Drosophila melanogaster: one gene and its partners. The protein of the gene in region 3 interacts with the protein of the main gene of each other region in a pairwise test. Each region holds a gene or a part of one and is shown on either strand. Other genes may lie near its edges. The genes, in order: Atpalpha, Sec22, Inx7 and CG14401.

Region 1 (4,917 bases), on a different chromosome or scaffold from region 3:
TCCTTGCCGCCGGTGGCCCGGTTGTTGAACCACAAACACCCAGACACACAGAAACACTAAGCACCAGCACGCAGCAGAGGCAAAGACACCTGTTGATTGGGCCTTTCAGGTTATTTGAGCCAAAGCCAATGCCAAAGCAAAAGCAAAAGCGAAAGCCAAACCCGAAGACAGTGGCAGTGGCAACAAGGCGATTTCCCCTCAGCTTATGTGGGCTCAATTTTGTAGTCGAGCCGGCTTCCTTCTAATGGCCATGGGATATTGAATCGATTGACGGGGCCGCAGGATGAGAGGGCGGGCAAAAGGATGGGCAAAGTGGAAAGTGGGTTGCTCTGCAGCTGAGCGAAAAGTCGTTTCGCCTAAGCAACCGCAGCCCCTTTGGAGCTGCTTCCTTGTTTGTGCTCGTGTCGACAACAATTGATTTCAAAATATTAATTAACCGGATAAACCAATTGAAGCTTCCGGAGAAGGTAAGGGCAAATGAAACCGTGCAAACTGTGCTCTTTGTAAGAGTGTGCAAATTTGGCATTTCCTTGTAATTGGTCACCGAATTGATCAATTGAATGAATCTGTAGAAATTTAGATGCCATTTTGCTGGGAAGCTAACTTAGATAGAACATGCTAGCCTTCAAGAACAAAATGACTTGAGACATCTAATTATCCTGATTATATTTGGGGTTTAGAGTTGCGATAAATTCAGCTTCGACCAAGTGGAGGTCAGCATTTCGGATGATAAAATGAGATCTTGTGCGGACGGAGATAAGTTTTCCAAATGCCTGGTCGTTTGGAGGATTGTTATGTTTATAGCTCCATTACACTGACAAATTGGAAGATCTTCGTCTTGAGTTCCACATCGTGACTCGTACTTATCAATAGTGTTCTCAATTAAATTCATAATTTAATTATAATCAATTACGCGGTCTGTTGGTTTCGGGCGAACCTTCAGTTGGTGCTTCCAATGATAAGTTGCTGGATAATGATGACGAGGGGTATCAGGTGTATCTTGAAATTTAAGTATAATTTAATTAGTTTAAGTAAGCTGAACTTATAATCTCCAAGATGCGTTTTTCCCCACAGGATCGTCGAATTGCTGAGCCTTCGAGAATCTCTGGCCCGTTTGAAGCCATTCATCGCAACAATGATCAACGATCAATACTGAACATAGGAAATAAATTTGAGAAGATTCAAGTCCAGTTGAACATTTCTTGGAGAGTAGCTAATTTATACGTTTAACGAACGCCATCTACACTTCGTTCTATCTGCCACTTAAAATTATTTTGCTTATACAGCGCCACCTATGTTTGGAATGCAAGAAGACGCGCGTATTGTATTTGGTATTTTATTATCTCTTGAAATTGAATACACATAACTATAACGTTGGCAACTCTCCATATCTGTAAATATTCAAGATGGCAACTATCGTAGTGTGTATATTTTAATCTGGCAGCTCCAGTAATTTTCACGCTTGCAGTTGATATAAAAAGTACATAAAAGTATGTTATTTCCAAATTGAGGTGAAAAATTAAACATATTTTTAACTTGGTATTTTAAATTAGCAATTATTAATGAGAGTATTGAAATCCAAACATATCCAGATATTAATATTTGAAGGTAGCATAGTAACAACTTTCGGTAAATAAATATCCAGGTATATTTAAAATACTTAACTTTTCATTTTAAATAAACCAGACTGTTCGGACTATTGACAAATTATAATAGTAATTTTATTCATAATGCAATATTTACAATTACATTTTCTTAACCGATTGCCATCCCGATTTCTACACCGGCTTATTCGATACAATAGGCCGATAACTCTCCATTTGGTAGTCACGACTTCTAAAATATCGATACGTTGGAATTGTGTAAATTTTCCACATCCCTGGGAATAATCGAGTTAAATTAAAATAACATGGCGTTAAGGTCGGATTACGAGGTGAGCAAAAATAAAGCCTGGATTACGATGAAAACTAAGTTAGTTAAGTGAGAAAATGGTTAAGTTTAAACTGTTGTTAGACCATGACGAGGGAACCAAAAAGAACCAGGGCCAAAACAAATTGGCCAAGTGATACGCTGAGCGGGCGTTGTTTTTAGTGGGAAAAATCGAAGCCCGAGTGCGCTGTGTGGGTGTGTGCGTGTATCTGTGTTGTGTACATTGCTTTTGGTGTTGTTCTTGCTGCTGCTGCTGCTACTACTATTTGTTTTGTTGCTGGTGAAAAAGCGAGAAGCAACGACAACAACAACAAAGCCGAGGCGACGCCCAACGAAGTTTACTAATTTGTTTGCGGGCTTTCGGTAACTGCAAACGGAATCGAATGTGAAACGGGGCGCAGTTACTAATCCTATTGGATCTGGATGGGCCTATATCCGCTTACCTGCTGATCTGTAAAAATAGCCTGGGCTTAGAGCCTGGCTTTTGACTTTTTTCTCGAATTTGTATTCGCTCTCCCTTTCTCTTGCTCTCTCTCTCTCTCTCTGCCTCTCTGTCTCTCTCTCTCTCGCTTTCCAGGTGCGCTTAGCTGGCATGCGCAATTTGCATTTCCAGGCCGACCAGTTTCCCAAATTTTCCACTTTCCCGGCGCGAAAGCTTTTCGCTTTTCCGTGCTTGGAAATCTTCCAGTTTTCGGCTTACATAACCGGTACTGCTGCCGCCCCTCCCGAACCACGCCCCATTCCGCCGCATCTCGCAGATTTCATTATTGGAATCTCGAGCTCTAGAACGAAACTACCCTGCATAACACGTTTATTTTTCCATTTTCCGTGCTTTCCCTCCTTCCGGAATTGGTGTCATTGGGCCGAGTAGTGCGCTGCTAATTACACACACTGGCACATTAGCGTAAATCGACGTACTTCTTACCGTACTTTTTTCTCAGTACGTAGCCCTTACTTTCCCTTCCCTACCCCCTCACCATTCGATTAGTTACTAAATGCCCCACCGATGACGCCACTTAATTACCCCGCAGAAGGTAATGAGTTCTTCGCCAGGGTTGTTGTTTCCACCCGGGCTTTCGGTTCTGTTCCTAGGGCTAGACCACCAATTCTAAGTCCGTATTGCCAGCTCTATTGATTTTGGGGCTTGTCTAAGGGCAGGTCACACACACGCACGCACCCACACACATACTGGTTCGACGGCCCGAAAGTATGCAAAACTATAGAGCAAGCGGTCTGAATCCACTCGCAACAAACAGTGGGTCCAGATATTATTTGTAACGGGAAAACTTGAAAAGAACGCTTAAGACCTCACTTAGACTTGAAAGTGTCTTGTAGAATATATTTAGATATTATTATATAATTATTATAATATATATTATATTGTGCATATTTGTATTGTTATAAAATTAAGTATGTAATTCCAAAATTACGTCTTTATTAGTATTGTAGTGGTATGCATATTTTAAGAATCAAAATAAGTTACGCAAATTATTTTAAGTTTAAAAACATTTGTGGTTGGGTTTATTGGGTTGGGTTTCATACAATTAATTTTATAAAATATGACGCATTTCCCAACGGATTTTCAAGGGCAAATTCTGATGATAATATTGTTGGTGTAGAATACAACGTTGCATAATTATTATAATTCAATCTGCCGGACTACGACATCTTATATCTTAACCCAGTGTGCTCAGTGGAAATTCTATTATGATTTCACGCACAAATCCGCGTAAAGCTGAGTTATGTACGAGTATATCTCACATCCCCCCACCAGCGTTGTGGCTTCGTTTTGTATGCTGACTCATGCGCTTTCAATTGAAGTCAATTTAAGAAAGCACATCAAAAATCATGAAACTACAATCTGACGATGCTCTAAGAACGCGATAATGAAGTTCCCTTCCTCTCAATGTGCGTTCCATAAGTAAATGATTTGGAATTAAGGGCCAGCCAAAACGAGAACTAGTTGGTATATGTATGTATGTATGCATCTACCCGTTTATCAGTCGAAAAATGCAGATAAAGCAATTAAGAGTTTATGGAGAGGACGGCAAATAAGCTGAATAATGTGCTTCCAACGTGGTAATGGCAGGTTCTAAATGCTAACACCCAGGATTTGAATACTATCAGCAGTTATCAGCGTTGACATGTAGTACACACACCTATACTATATATTAACCAGATATTTTGTGCACCCGAATAGACGGGCCCCTTCCCTTTTTGACCAGTTTTACCCGGCTCGGAGATTTTAGGTTCGCGTTAACTACTTAACAGATTGCCGATGGCAGTAAAAGCGACAGTGATAATAATTACAACTGGAAAATACCAGAAAACCGTCCGACAGAGGTGGTGACTTGCTTTCGGCAATCAAAGCGTGGCAGCAAAACAATATTGGCCGTTTTAATTCAATTACGCGCCAATAAAAATCTAATCAACTGACAATGGCAAACCGTTTGAATAGATCTTGTTGGAAAAAGCCATCTACGCTATGTGGGCATCATCAATTGGCGGCCATAATCGCAAGATGTGGAAATTATCACCTCGCCCATTGACTGTTTGCTGTCACATCCAGCACACAGATTGCATTCGACAAGGACTTCGATTTGTTTCGCTGCGGTGTGATATTTGGCACATGCCCAGTTTGCGTCAATGGGTAGGGTCTTAATTACTAACGATTGCATAACCCGCTATTAGGGGTCTGGGCCTCCAGTTTCCCAGGTATCGGTATCTGTATCTGTGCCTTTGCGCTATATTTACCTTTCGTCTGCTTATCAGATAACACTCGCTCGACCAACACTTGTAGATTAAGTTCTAGAGCGGTACGTTGATTTATTTTCGTTTTCGTTTGTTTTCGAGTTGGTCTCCAGCTTGTAGGTCTCTCAAGGTCCATCGATCATTACCCTTCAGGGGTGGCTTAGTTCCGAAGGGGTAGTTTATTGTCCAGCTACCTGAAGTAGCTGAGCCGGAGCTCAACAATGGCTCAATTGTTCC
Region 2 (4,516 bases), 6.2 Mb from region 3:
TCACCACCAGAGCTTCAGCAGAACCACAGCCTAGTACACGGAAGCCAGAGGAGGTTGCAAAATTCGGTAGATGATTGCTCTTCTCCCCAGTTAATTAATTATTGCAGACCATTTCACACATCCCCCCCCACAAAGCATATGCATTCATATGTAGTTATGTAGAGAGCGTATATATGTATTCGGATTCGATATTTCACAAAACTATACACACCAAATTACGATATAGCAGTGTATATGGCAACAGCGCATTTTTTTCCTAATTGTAAAGATTTGATATTACAAATTTATATGCGCTGAGACGCAACGAAAACGGACATTTAGCGGGACGATATGAGACCGAATGGGATCGGGATCGGATCAGATCGAGAAATTCATTGAGAAGAATCGTAATTCGAAGGCTTGCAAGTGGATATAAACTATAAAGGCGAATGTATCACATCACACTCAGTGAATCGAAAAATATATAAAGGGAAATTATCGATTAAAACTAAACCAAAAATCAGATGCAGTTTCTATCTTTCGGGCTTGGGTAGTGCATCGAACACAGTTTTGCCTTCTCTTTATTAAACAATATAAATTTATTTATTTGCCTTAATTTTACACATATAAATTGCCTAAAACTGTTATTGTTTATTTCCCTTTCTCTTCTTTTCTTTTCTTTCGGTTCGCTTGTTATCTTTTCTTTTTCTTTTGTTTTTTGCGGTGTTTTTGCAGCTTGTATCAAGCACTCCGCCGGATTCGGATTCGCTATGCAGCGATCCATCTACAATCTAGACATTTATACACACACACACGGATCGACGCTCATAATTTACAGATTTGGGTCGTAGTCAACCGACTTGGCTCAAAGGTCGTCTAAACTAAACCCGATTCGTAATCAAATATTTAGAAAACCTGCGCAACGGAAGCGCGAGGCGAAATGAAATGGGAGTTAATAATTAATGGAATCCCAGACCGTAAATAACGCAAAGGTAAGTTAATATTAGAAGTAAAACAATCCTCGGGAGCGATGCGTATGCTGGTAGGGGGTTTCGCTATTCACTTTTCGCTTGCCTATGATTCATAGATATGAATGAATATGGTGTGGTTGGTGGCGTGGAGTACAGGTGCACGCGTAATCTAAATGTCTTTTGGTCTTGCGTCCTTGACGCTTGACTCCAACAAAGAACGCGCCGCTCCGAGTGGCCATGGAACTGCTTGATATTACAGAACCCAGAAATACATGATGAACACTAGAAGTATCATGCCCAAGGCCATCGCCTTCACGTACATGGACTTTCGGTTGAGCAGCTTGGCGTCCTTCTTGTACTTCTGTGACATCATCGATAGGTTCTGGGTCTTGGTGTCGAGTTCTGGAAGGAAAAACGGGGTGAACGTCAGTTGAATCCCACAATCACGCGTAGATAGTCGCGTAGATAGTAGTAGTAGTAGTTACCCGCCAGCACTGTGCCACGTTGGAGCACGTCGTCAATGTTTTGCACCATGATGCGCTGCACATCCTGCAGCTGTGTGTTGATGTTGCTGATGTTGCGTCTGCGGTCCGTCAACTGTTTTTTCGCCTTCTGTATGTACACGTCAAACTCGATGAATGCGTATGGGCGAGTCACTGAGTTTACTCGCCGGCCGTAGTTAGCATGGAACTCCTGGGCCAGGTCCTCCAGGTAATTGAAGGCCAGTCGCTTTGAGTACATCTTGTCCACCATCACCAGGTAGCAGACGTCGTTCTCGATTAGGTAGCTGCAGGGAAAATGTGGAATATTTTAATTGGGGCGCCCATTGCATCTTCTGGCTTTCGCAAGCAGTGAGCGTTTAATTTAACTTCGTATCAAATTACATCTATACTCTTTGTTCCGAAACTAAATCAACTGTCACTGACTACCCGCGGAGCCGAGAAACCTTTGTACATGGTGTGATTTTAATGGTCTATGCCCTGGCAAAGGTGCCACGAATTGGGGCTACTCACTGGAATAGGTAGGGTCCGGTCTCGATACTGCATCGAGCCGGGGAGTGGGTACCCAGCTTGCGGAAGAGCATCTTAGCCTGGTTTTGGTAGTCCAGTATGCTGCGTCCGCTCTGAAAGTGAAAGCGACTTAGTTGCGGGAGCGGAACGGAATGCAACGTATTAGAAAGTGATGCACACGGGTACCTGCTCGTCATCCTGCATGGTCCCCACCAGAGGAAGGCCATCGATGACCCTGGCTATCATGGTCAGCAGCGCCATGGCTTCTGCTGTTCCTGGTTACGATTGCTCGCGGAACTACGGGGCTGCGTCTCAAGTCTTCTTGGCCACGGCTGCACTCTGCCGTCGCCTCCTTCCACTGGCTGCTACTTATTCCGATGTGGATCCGCTGCAGTCCAGTCACCAGTGTGTGAAGTTTGTGTCCGGTCGTCCTCTTCCACTTCTTGGATTTCACAACTCAGCCGATCGGTCGGTGCTTGCCGCAGTGCTCCTGCGATGCCCGGGACTTCCAAATGGACTCTGCCTCGAATCGGGAACGTTCGCTGCTACCATGAAAACTGTGTTGCAACGTCGCGGCGGGCGGGTGTCTGGGATTGGAGTGGATTGGAGGTTTCTGTGGATGTTTGTTGCAATGTAACCACGTCACCGGTATGTCCGTGTAAATATACCGAATGGTGCGAGGCATACCGAATACCGCAGAGTATCTCAGAGTACCGACCGCCAACGGTCACATTAACGGAAGTCCATTATACCATTCGTTTCTTCGTTTCTTTAAATGCACGATATGGAAATACGCTTTCAACTCGTTTTCAAGCCAGCATGCCCCTGAAAATGGCGCTTTCGAGTTTCCGGGCTTTCCCGCAAAGCTATTTTCCCAGGTCTACAGCTTTGACAGCTTGCGCTCTGCTGTAATGTGGAGTTTGCTTTTTGTATGCGTGTGTTGTACACAGGATGCGGATTAAGGATCCCCAGAAGTTCAATAGAAGTACAATACTTCGATTCACCCATGAACCTGGCGCCCAGATGCATTGTTCTATAGCTGTTTTGAGTCCCAATCCGACCAATTGGTCTTTGGTATTTTTATTTTTTATATTGGCAATCGAGTTGCGAATATATTATTTCAAATATTTAAATATAAATAAATATTTATTTAAATTATTAACCAACATAAATCGAAATCCCTGGCACGTCGCGCCGCTTTCGCAGACTCAAATCCGCTGGCGCAGATGCCGGAAGTGGGTTGGACCCCCCAAAAGTCGATGACCAAGCCCAACCGGTTCGCCCGCGAAGACCATCCTCTGCATGGACATCCACATCCATCCCCAGAAGGAAAAGTGGTTCGCCCGCGAAACCGGACTTGGACTTGAGGCAGGGACCCAACTATATGGACTACCTGTGGTACTTGGCGATGGAGCTGCGTGCGAATGTGCGTTTCAAGCGACCACCGGAAAAATCTTTGCACTGGGAAAATAATTCATATCGAATGCGACTTATTCATCTATGTATATTATGAATTGAAGCCCTGCAAGCGAATGCGAATAACCATTCCCATTTCTGCTCATACCGAAGAATGCTAAGATATACACAAGTTTGTGATCAAAGCGGGAAAGCTTATGACATTATTTAAAATGCTTGTACTGTGATCTTAAATCGAATGCATTTCAATTAACTCTGAGCCCATCGAGGACTGCGGTCAACCTATTTTCTCATCGTGTGATCGGATCACCCGCAGCGGAATGCGTGCGCTTCCGTTTTGCTCGGCTTGGCCTCCTTCCTCGTTCCGTTGAAAGCAGGTATGTATATATAAGCCACTGCTCCACCTAGAGGCTCCACAATACAAAGTCAGTCATGGCCGGGTCAGTTCGTGCGACGCTCCTGGGTCTCCTCATGCAGATCCTGTGCAATGGGCTGGCTGGTCAGCAGCTGCTCCTCACACGTCCCCAAAGGAGCCTGTTCGAGACTCCGCTGGGTCACGTAGAGCAAGTGGAACAAGTGCCCTCTTTAGGCTGGAATAGTGTTGGTAGTGGACTCGGAGTGGGCGAGTGGCCCTACAGCCCCGTTGGTCTCGGCCACATGAGCAAGGATGAGCTGCTGACCCTGCTGGAGGCCTGGAAGGAGGTCGAGGAGGAATCGGCCACAACAACGACTGCGTCGCCAGCGGATGCCAGCACACGTAGACCTCCTCCGCCTCCACTGCCACCACCACCACCTCCTCCGCCACGACCCACACCCATACCAGTCTCCGTTGCAATCCCGTCACCGGCTGTTCCGCCCTCCGGCACTCCCATTACAGTGCGGCTCCCAGCCTTTGTGCCTGTGCGTCTGGCTGCCGTGTTTACTCCGCTTGCCGGTGGACAAGCTGATAGTGCTGTTCCGTCTGCCAACGGAGTCGGAGGGGCTGGAGGAGATGATTTGTCCACCGATGACGTGACAGATGATGACGGCGTCTCTACCCGGCTCTTTCGCTTTTTGCCCATGCCAGGAGCTCGAACGAGACCGCAATCCAATTCACAGCCCAGGCAGCAATTTGTGGTGAGGAACACCCTGGACAGCGTG
Region 3 (4,396 bases):
TGACAGAGCGGCATGTGTAAATGTCTTAATGCAGCTGGAAGCGTTGACTTCAGAAGTTGAGTTCCTCCTATCTCTGGATGTTTTCGATGAAAACCACTTAAACTTCCCAAAACCATAGAAAATATATAAAACTTACAGTAGCAATAACTCACCTGGAGAACCGTCCGTAATCGGGGATACCGTCATGCACATCTATTGAAACTTCACAGTCAGATGGGAGGGTACAAACTGTGACCCAGCTCTGAACTGAACACTGCAGCTCAGTAACAAACACTTTCGAAACCACAACGGATCACTCGAACTGGGTCACCCAACCGCAGTCGCCACTCGACACAAACTGTCGGCCACGCCCACACGCCCCTCCGAAAGGTGTCTGGTCGGTTTTGGTTTTGTTGTGCTTTTTACCCACTTTTTTTTTCAAAATACCTCACACAAAATAACTGTTTTTCTGTCGGCCATTTTGAGAGATTTTGCTTTATGTGAGCCCCGAAAAAAACCTGTTGGATAAAGCTGAAAGCCGAGTCTCTTAATAATAAATATATTTATAATGAAATGATCATATATATATATAAAAAAAAAACAGGTGTAAACAAGACAAAGCTCCAATAATTAATTGCCTAGCGTTAATTGAAATGCATAAATTATACAGGTAACTTTGCCATATCCGAAGTCGATGGCCCTTGGGCTCCGCCGGCAGAGGGCGAGCCATTGCGTCGAAGGTGCAAGAGTGGTGAATCAATCGTATCCAGACCACTGAGCTCCGGATAACGGTTCTTAGCGGGCGTGGGCGGTGCCTCTCGATAGGCATTGACATCGTTATCGTGATCGGGATTGGGGAACTCACTAGCCAAATGATAGATAACCTTCTTGAATAGGAACTCCGAAAGGTTGGAGCGCAGGAAGAAAAGGAACATCCAGTTGGAAAAGTTACACTTATCAATTACCGCCAATAATTCGTTTTCGTCCAGTTGGCCAGGCTTGGCCCAATAGAGAGACCAGCGGGTAAATGTGACACTAATTAAAGTGGGTTAGAAGGGTTATCACATTATGAAAACATATTTCACACCTATATCCATCCACTCACTTTCTGTAGAAGCACAGGGTTAAAATTCTCCAAAGCAGTCCCAGAACAGTAACAATCAAAAGGAAGGCGTACCAGAACCACAGAATAATGTAGATCTTCTCGTTCATGATGTTCAGCGCCATCACGCAAAGGGCATCGTGCATTTGAATGGAGCCAGAGTCACCAAATTTGTGGAACTTGCACTTGGTAATCTTCGGGAATACTAGATCCAAAACGCTCAGCTCGTCGGACCACCGATTTTTCAGGGCATGTGGTCCCAGTGTGAGGAATTGACCGCCCAAAAAACGGTTGGTCCATGTGATCTGCAGCAGAAGATTAATCAGATTGAGCACCTCCGCGAAGACCAAGTGGGCACCCCACGATTGATTCAGCCGCATCCGGTCGATCATTGTGCGACGAATGTCCTTGACCCGCTCCTCCGCCTCCGCCATCGAGGGAATGTTCAGCTTGCCGATACGCAGACTATCGTTCTTCAGGTACCTCGTTAGACCCACCATTCGAAGGCCAAAGACCAGGGCCTTGATCCGGCCGCCCTCCCAACTCTTCCACAGGGCATGGGGAATGTAGAAGCAGAGAGCCTGGAAGAACAGGACAAAGGGCACCCACTGGTAGTATGCATGCCGCTTGATCGTGTCCTTTTCGGGATCGAATGCCCCTATACCAGGTGGCTCACTTCCCGGCCTGTAGGCAGTTTGGTTCTGGTCACGTACCTATTTGGGGTGCAAGCTATGTTAATAAATGATCTACTGCCGCCAAGGCACATAAATAAAATCTATTCTATCATTTGATCATTTCAGGAATGGGTATGTGGCAACATATATCAACCAACTAATAGCAATAAAACGACTCTAAATCGATTAACCCTATTTAAGTTTTAACCAATAATCAAATAGAGTATTGATAACAGTTGCTCTCAATAGATACTTCTGTGTACCCCGTACATAGATATTTTTTTTAATTCCCTGGTGACCTCTTATAATTTTCCCTTTGTGACCCCGCTGACTTACCACTGTGAAGGTGGGCGTGAAGAAGCAGAAGGTGTTGATGACCGGAGACACAACACCGTCGGATAGGCACTGGATGTGCTCCCCGATGTACTGGCGCGACGTGATCAGGAGGGTGGCCACTAGGAGTATTACGAAGGTCCATCGATAGTGCAGCTTGAACACTATATTGTCGATGACCACACGCGTGAGATCGAACTTGAGGTACTGCCTCACCGAACTGAAGGTGTTCAGCATTGTAACGCCTTCGTTATCTTCGGTTTTGGGTTAGGTTCTGGCCCCGATCCGATCCGATCCGATCCCACTTCTACTTCGTTCACTTTCTTACGATGATTACGACAACTATGGCTGGGTGGCAATTGGAAACGGGCTGGCTTCTGGGTTCGGATGGATTTGTGCGCTCCGCTTGCCGCGGCTAGCTCCTCGTAACTGCAAGGCTCGAGACTCTGCACTTGGTCTCCGGGTCTCGGAACCTTCGGTCTCCGGTCTCCGGTCCCCGTTCGCCGATCTTCATCACCATTCCACATTCGTCGGAGAGGGCTTTCTGGCGCCTTATCGACCGCTCATTTTTGGCCAGGAGAGTCGCCCGGGCCCGATAAGATAACTTCGTCGGGCAGAAATACACGGAAATGCCGAATCAGCAATGGTATTGTGTTTAGTTCAGAGTTGTCCAAGAAAAGAGTAAGGGAAATATGAGAACCTACTGGAGTGCGCTACACTTAGCAGGACTTACGTAGACTATTGGACTATGAGAAAAAAAAAAGAAATTTTTTTCAGCTTCTGACTCGCAGTATAAGCTGAGAGAGGGGCACAATCTTTGTCACTTAGGTTTCAGTCTAAAATGTTAGCAATTTAATTCTTTCAGTGTAGGGCTCTCTTGATACCCAAGAAAACTCCGAAGTTTTTCGGTCATATTTCAAATTTCGCCCAAACATGAGTACTTCGGCATGTATTCGGCTCGTGGCTTCATAAGAATCCGAAAATGATAAGACGAAAGTCACAGAAAGAGCGAAAGAAATTATGAAAATAATACTCATTTTCTCAGGGTTTACCTCATCGGTAAGTTGGCTAAATCTCGCCCTGGTGGGTGGGTGAGTAACTTCCCACCCATCGAAATTCATCCAAGATCCAAGAGCAAAGAGGCCAAGATAACCAAGCAAACAATCATAGGAAATATGAATCAGTGCGGGAAAATATATATGTACATATATGACTCAAGAGATTCAGGATATCAGCAAATTAGTTACACTTCCAAAAACATAGCAAAAATCCCTTAGTGATGCAAGAAATGATCACTTGGTTTTAAGAATAACCATAGAGACTTGCATTGAAATCATTCAAGTGTGGAATTGCAAATTCCGCCGTAATCTGGAACTCTCCGGGTCTTAAAGCGTGCCGCTATCGCCACCCATATTGATTCAATACTGCCTATTCTGATGGATGGGACAGTAATTGGATAAGCGGACATATATCGGCTTGGCGTTATCGTATTGACCCAGATCAGTGCTAGACAGAGGGCTATGTACATACTTACTGAGACTCTTCTTCTTAAGATGGATTATTGCTCGGCTGTTTGCCTTTTTGGCGATATCGTTGCAAGGTTCCACGCAAGGCAATCAGGTGGATATTCACCCTGCGCACTATTGTATTTCATTCTTTGGCCCCGACAATCTTATCTTCCAGTCAATCCCCAGAAAAGACAACGAGTGACTGGCTTACTTACTTTCTAGAATGTAACGGAATTCCAACAGAGATTCGCACTATCAGCTCATAAGTATCTACATATATCTGTTGCTTATCTAAATAGCTCGCCTAGGCATTGTATTTTGGTGCTTATTACTTAAGCGCTCAAGTGGCCGCTCCAAAACTTTGCCGGATAAGATAGTCAAAAATGGCCCCTTTACATACGTACATATAACATTTATAAGTCGTGCGTAACTAGAGACCAGTTAACTATATTAGTAATTGCAACATTTTTAGCCGGTTGACTGCTCGAATTTACCTCTACTTGGGTTTCCCAGGAAATTGCTATGATTACGGCTACTACTTTTGCTTTTGCTTACGCCTCCCAGTTGACGAAAGTTCATTGATTCATGTTCAAATAACAATCGCATTGCTTTATTGGCATAGCCCAGATTTTGATATAAACTGATAGGCCATGCACGTTCTTTTGTCTTTGGCCATTTTGCAATGAAATTTAAATAAAGCAAACCACAATGAAAACGAAATTCGAACCATTCAAGCAAGGCGCTCCACACGTATTACCCTCGGCCACAGATTCAATTACCAGGCATAAGCAATACCAGTC
Region 4 (3,992 bases), on a different chromosome or scaffold from region 3:
TACAGTTTTGTATGTTCAAACCTCGTGCGGATCGTTTCAATTGCGCCGAGCAGAGCTATAAATAAGCCCGCCACTTGAATTATTTTCCATAAAACCATCAAATACAACAAATTCCAATCACCAGCGAGAAAGGTGGCAAACCGATTTTCCTCCCATCAACAATGCAGCATTATTTACTTTTGTTTGGCGCGCTCATCTCGCTACTGGCCTCAGGTTTGTTTTTGTTCTGTTTGGACTTGTTTCTTTCGAATTTGTACTTTGCTTTGCGAGTTCTGCGTTTGCCGCGACCTGTCGGCTGTCCCCGCCTGATCTCATTTCTGCCATAAATAAGACGCGTCTCTGGTCTTCCCATCCCAATGCCACTAGCTTACGCCATCAAGTGCTATGCCTGCGAATCCGTCTACGAGGCTAGTTGCGGCGACGACTTCGAAGTCGAGAACCATTTTAAATACGACTGCGCCTTCATTGCTCCTCCGCGATTCCTGGAGAACGATCTGCTCAGCGTGAATGCCACGGCCTGTTTGAAACGGGTATTCAAGGGTGAGTTTAAACGAATATGTTTCTCAAAACACGTTCCTACGGATTTGAAGCCTTGCTAGGATAGTAACTTTAATAGTTATGAATCAATAGGTATAGTAAAAAGAAAAGAAAGTTTGAAATATAAGATTAAAAAGTGGATATATCGTAATTCACCAAAAATGTATCTATCCACCAGATATTTTTTTAAAGTAATTGTTCATTAATTACAAATACAGTCCGATTAGCAGCGGACAAAAAAAGTGTGTTCCGAAAGGTAAATGTCTGTATACTCATTAAACATTCGCAATGTTGTCCGTCCGAGATTTGTATTTACTCTTCAGATAATAATTTCTTTAATGATTTGTGACGCAAATCAAAACAAATAAAATTAATTATGTGAAACAGTCATACATACATTCATAGACATACGTGCATATACGGACAGCTGTGACCTTATTTCAGAAGAATCTCGTAGACTTTCCAACAATCTCTTGATATTTTGGACAATACGTACACATTTCGTATAAGCCCATTAAAGACGGACAATAAAAAATGTGTTTATTTACGATAAGTCAGCCCGAAAGTAGACTAACCCAATGTTTTGCCTCTGCAGAAAACGGCGTGCGTAAGATCGTCAGAGGCTGCTACTTCGGCGAGGTAAATGCCACCGATGTGTGGTGCAAAATGGACCCCACCCTGTCGGCGGTGCAGAACTCAAGTTGTCATGTGTGCGACAGCGAGAACTACTGCAACGGATCGGAAAATCATCCAGTGGATAAATGGAAAATCTTCGGCAGTCTGGTCTTGTTTCTCTTGGCAACTCAACTACTCTGAGGCGACAGGAGACGAAGTGGAAATGTGGAAATGTGGAGCGTGAAATGAACATTAAAAGGCACAGTAGCTTAAGTAAACCTAGTTCAATTTAGATGTATTCCCAAGGCCCAGGACTATCAATTAGTAAAGCCCACATTAGTAGAGCACACCATCCACAAAACCGTTTAGCCAAATCTGCCCGGCCCACTGTATTAATGGCTAATCAACGCCGAACATGGCGTATGAGCAACATCAGCACACCGAAATGAGCCGAAAAGCTGGCAAACAAATTTCGAACGATCCAAATACAAACTAATAAAAACTAATTTTACACAGAATGCCAAATTGTTTATTTGTTCAAATGCCACTAATGAACCTTGCCTGAAATAAATGGATTGGCGAGGAAAGGGCAAAGGGAATGGCAGGGCAGGGTAGGGCAAGGCAGAGCACGATGTCAACACGCATTGGCCAGGGAAAAGCCAACGATGGAGAAGTGAAAATGTGAAAAAATCTGTTATGAAAATCAAATTCACATTCTGAATGCGATTGTTCGCACGTTCAGTTCAGTTTCTGTTTAGTTCAGTCGCGTGTGTGCATCGCTTCGAGTCGGTGGTCGGTGGTCGGTGGTCGGTGGTCGTTGGTCGGCGGCTTGTGGCTATATAGCGCATCTATCATGTGATTAAAATCGGTCCGGCAACCGAGAAGACAACATCTGTATTCGCGCACGTATCGGCATCGCCAAGCTATAGCTATAGCCATACTGACTCACCGCGACCGCCGGACGACAGTGGAATCAACTGTTTTCGGGGGCGGTACGATGGCGATGATGGCAGCGCTTGCCTCGCTCTTTCTGCTCGTCACGCTGGCCAGCTCAGGTGAGATTCTCGATTCGCGCCCGCCACTCATCACATTCCTGCCCCGAAATTGTAGTTCATATTTTGAAATATCTCAGAAGCAGAAGACTGTCAACACGATTTATTGCGAATCAGTGAATTTAGGGTTTTACCGACTGTTTTGCGGGAAACTGTTCAGTAAAGAAAAACATATAAACAGCTTTCTTTGTTTATTTCATTGTTTACGTATAGAGTCTAAAAAGTTCAAGAATTATATTACAAATTTTAATTAACTTACATCTGAAAAGAAATTAACGTTTTGGAACATTAAGAATGGTTTTAAAGCTAATTGTTTACTTTAAGATAAAGATAAGGTCTACCAAAATGCTCATCCATTGTTTTCCTTTCTGTGCACTCTCGTGGACACACATTTTTACGGATGTCGTCATCAGCCCGTGCCATTACCTGCTACGAATGTGATTCCGTCAATAATCCAGGGTGTGGGGAGCGATTTGTGGGCGATGACATATCCACGACGGATTGCGATGTGGTGGCGAACATGCGATCCCTGGGAGCGGAGGCCACTTGCCTTACCAAGTACCATGAGGGAAGTGAGTATACGAGTATGGTTTCTGGAAAATATGTCAAGGAAATCCCTTATAAAATGACTCACTTTTCGCAGTGCCAGGAGACACGCGCTTCGTGAGGCGCTCCTGTTACTTTGGCGATGCCTCCCCAATAGGCGTCAGTTGCGACGATGGACCAGATCCTGTGGTGCCCTTTATGAACTTCCTCGGCTGCACACTGTGCGATACGGATTTGTGCAACGCAGCCGCTGGATTATCCACACTACCCTTGGTCATTGCCCTTTCGATACTCGGACTGCTTGTCCTACTGGCGACCTAAGGAAGATGAGTCGCGTGGAACGGCGGCGGTCGTATTTCAATGTTTCCTATTAAAAGTAATATACTCCAGTATTGTATAAAAGATTGTTGTTTTCTTGGTCGACTAACTAACATGACTTCTTATACTCATGCAAAGGGCGCAGAACAAGAACGACCCAAAGTTTATCCTTATATTCTTAATTTTCTAAGGCAAATGGCTTAAGTTATAAAAAGCCTACTGAATATGTAATAAATTTAACTTAAAGCCCCTAGAAGAATGAAATAGAAGCAAATATTTTTTAATTTTTATTTTATTTGATTTTCTTTCCATTGTTTTTATACATCCACTAAAATGATTTAACATACATATATATTTATATAATTATACTTGTTTGATTTAATATAATTTATTGAATAAAATTTACTCGTTTCCTACTCTACTAGCGTGTGTATGTAAGTATGTGTATGTGTGTATTGCAATTAGGATCATTAATTACAAAATATTCATAAAATAAATTAAAATAACACTTTCAAATCGATACACACAATTTCTGTTTCAATATCTAGTCCATTGATTTCTTGATCGTCAAACAATTCTAGTTTTACATTTATTTCCAGTTTATAGCATAAATTATTTTATGTAGGCAAACAGATAACATCTTTGCTTATTATCTTAATGGGTTTAGCTGCGGATTATATTCATAACACTTCTGGGCTACACATAAATAACATTCAAATATAAATATATGGATATTTATCAAGATATTGTATATAAACTACACATTGAGAACAATTCAGATAGAAAACAATTTATGTACAAAAGATTGTGTTTGTTTTTGCTTCACCAATACTGTCCATGCTGGCGTTGTCCGGCGGAATCTCTACGATCCCAGCGAGGACCACTGCCGCGTCAATGCCACAAACAATCGTCGTCCATCTTTCC

The links.
Region 1: the proteins of Inx7 (region 3) and Atpalpha interact in a two-hybrid assay, tested with the Drosophila melanogaster proteins (one large-scale study listed by BioGRID).
Region 2: the proteins of Inx7 (region 3) and Sec22 interact in a two-hybrid assay, tested with the Drosophila melanogaster proteins (one large-scale study listed by BioGRID).
Region 4: the proteins of Inx7 (region 3) and CG14401 interact in a two-hybrid assay, tested with the Drosophila melanogaster proteins (one large-scale study listed by BioGRID).

What each region holds. Positions count from the first base shown.
Region 1 is NT_033777.3:20,946,897-20,951,813, forward strand, and holds the start of Atpalpha (Na pump alpha subunit), read left to right. Parts: upstream 1-1,883; 5' UTR 1,884-1,909; coding exon 1,910-1,933; intron 1,934-4,917. UniProt on the Drosophila melanogaster protein: This is the catalytic component of the active enzyme, which catalyzes the hydrolysis of ATP coupled with the exchange of sodium and potassium ions across the plasma membrane.
Region 2 is NC_004354.4:804,190-808,705, reverse strand, and holds Sec22 (secretory 22), read right to left. Parts: upstream 2,631-4,516; 5' UTR 2,222-2,630; coding exon 2,141-2,221; intron 2,074-2,140; coding exon 1,964-2,073; intron 1,738-1,963; coding exon 1,436-1,737; intron 1,353-1,435; coding exon 1,204-1,352; 3' UTR 506-1,203; downstream 1-505. Other genes in the region: CG13358 (uncharacterized protein), read left to right, coding at 3,809-4,516.
Region 3 is NC_004354.4:6,991,089-6,995,484, forward strand, and holds Inx7 (innexin 7), read right to left. Parts: upstream 2,525-4,396; 5' UTR 2,326-2,524; coding exon 2,092-2,325; intron 1,795-2,091; coding exon 1,085-1,794; intron 1,015-1,084; coding exon 642-1,014; 3' UTR 524-641; downstream 1-523. UniProt on the Drosophila melanogaster protein: Structural components of the gap junctions.
Region 4 is NT_033779.5:20,867,985-20,871,976, forward strand, and holds CG14401 (uncharacterized protein), read left to right. Parts: upstream 1-1,869; 5' UTR 1,870-2,149; coding exon 2,150-2,363; intron 2,364-2,617; coding exon 2,618-2,776; coding exon of another isoform or gene 2,777-2,788; intron 2,789-2,847; coding exon 2,848-3,071; 3' UTR 3,072-3,488; downstream 3,489-3,992. Other genes in the region: CG31675 (uncharacterized protein), read left to right, coding at 162-213, 367-540, 1,133-1,353.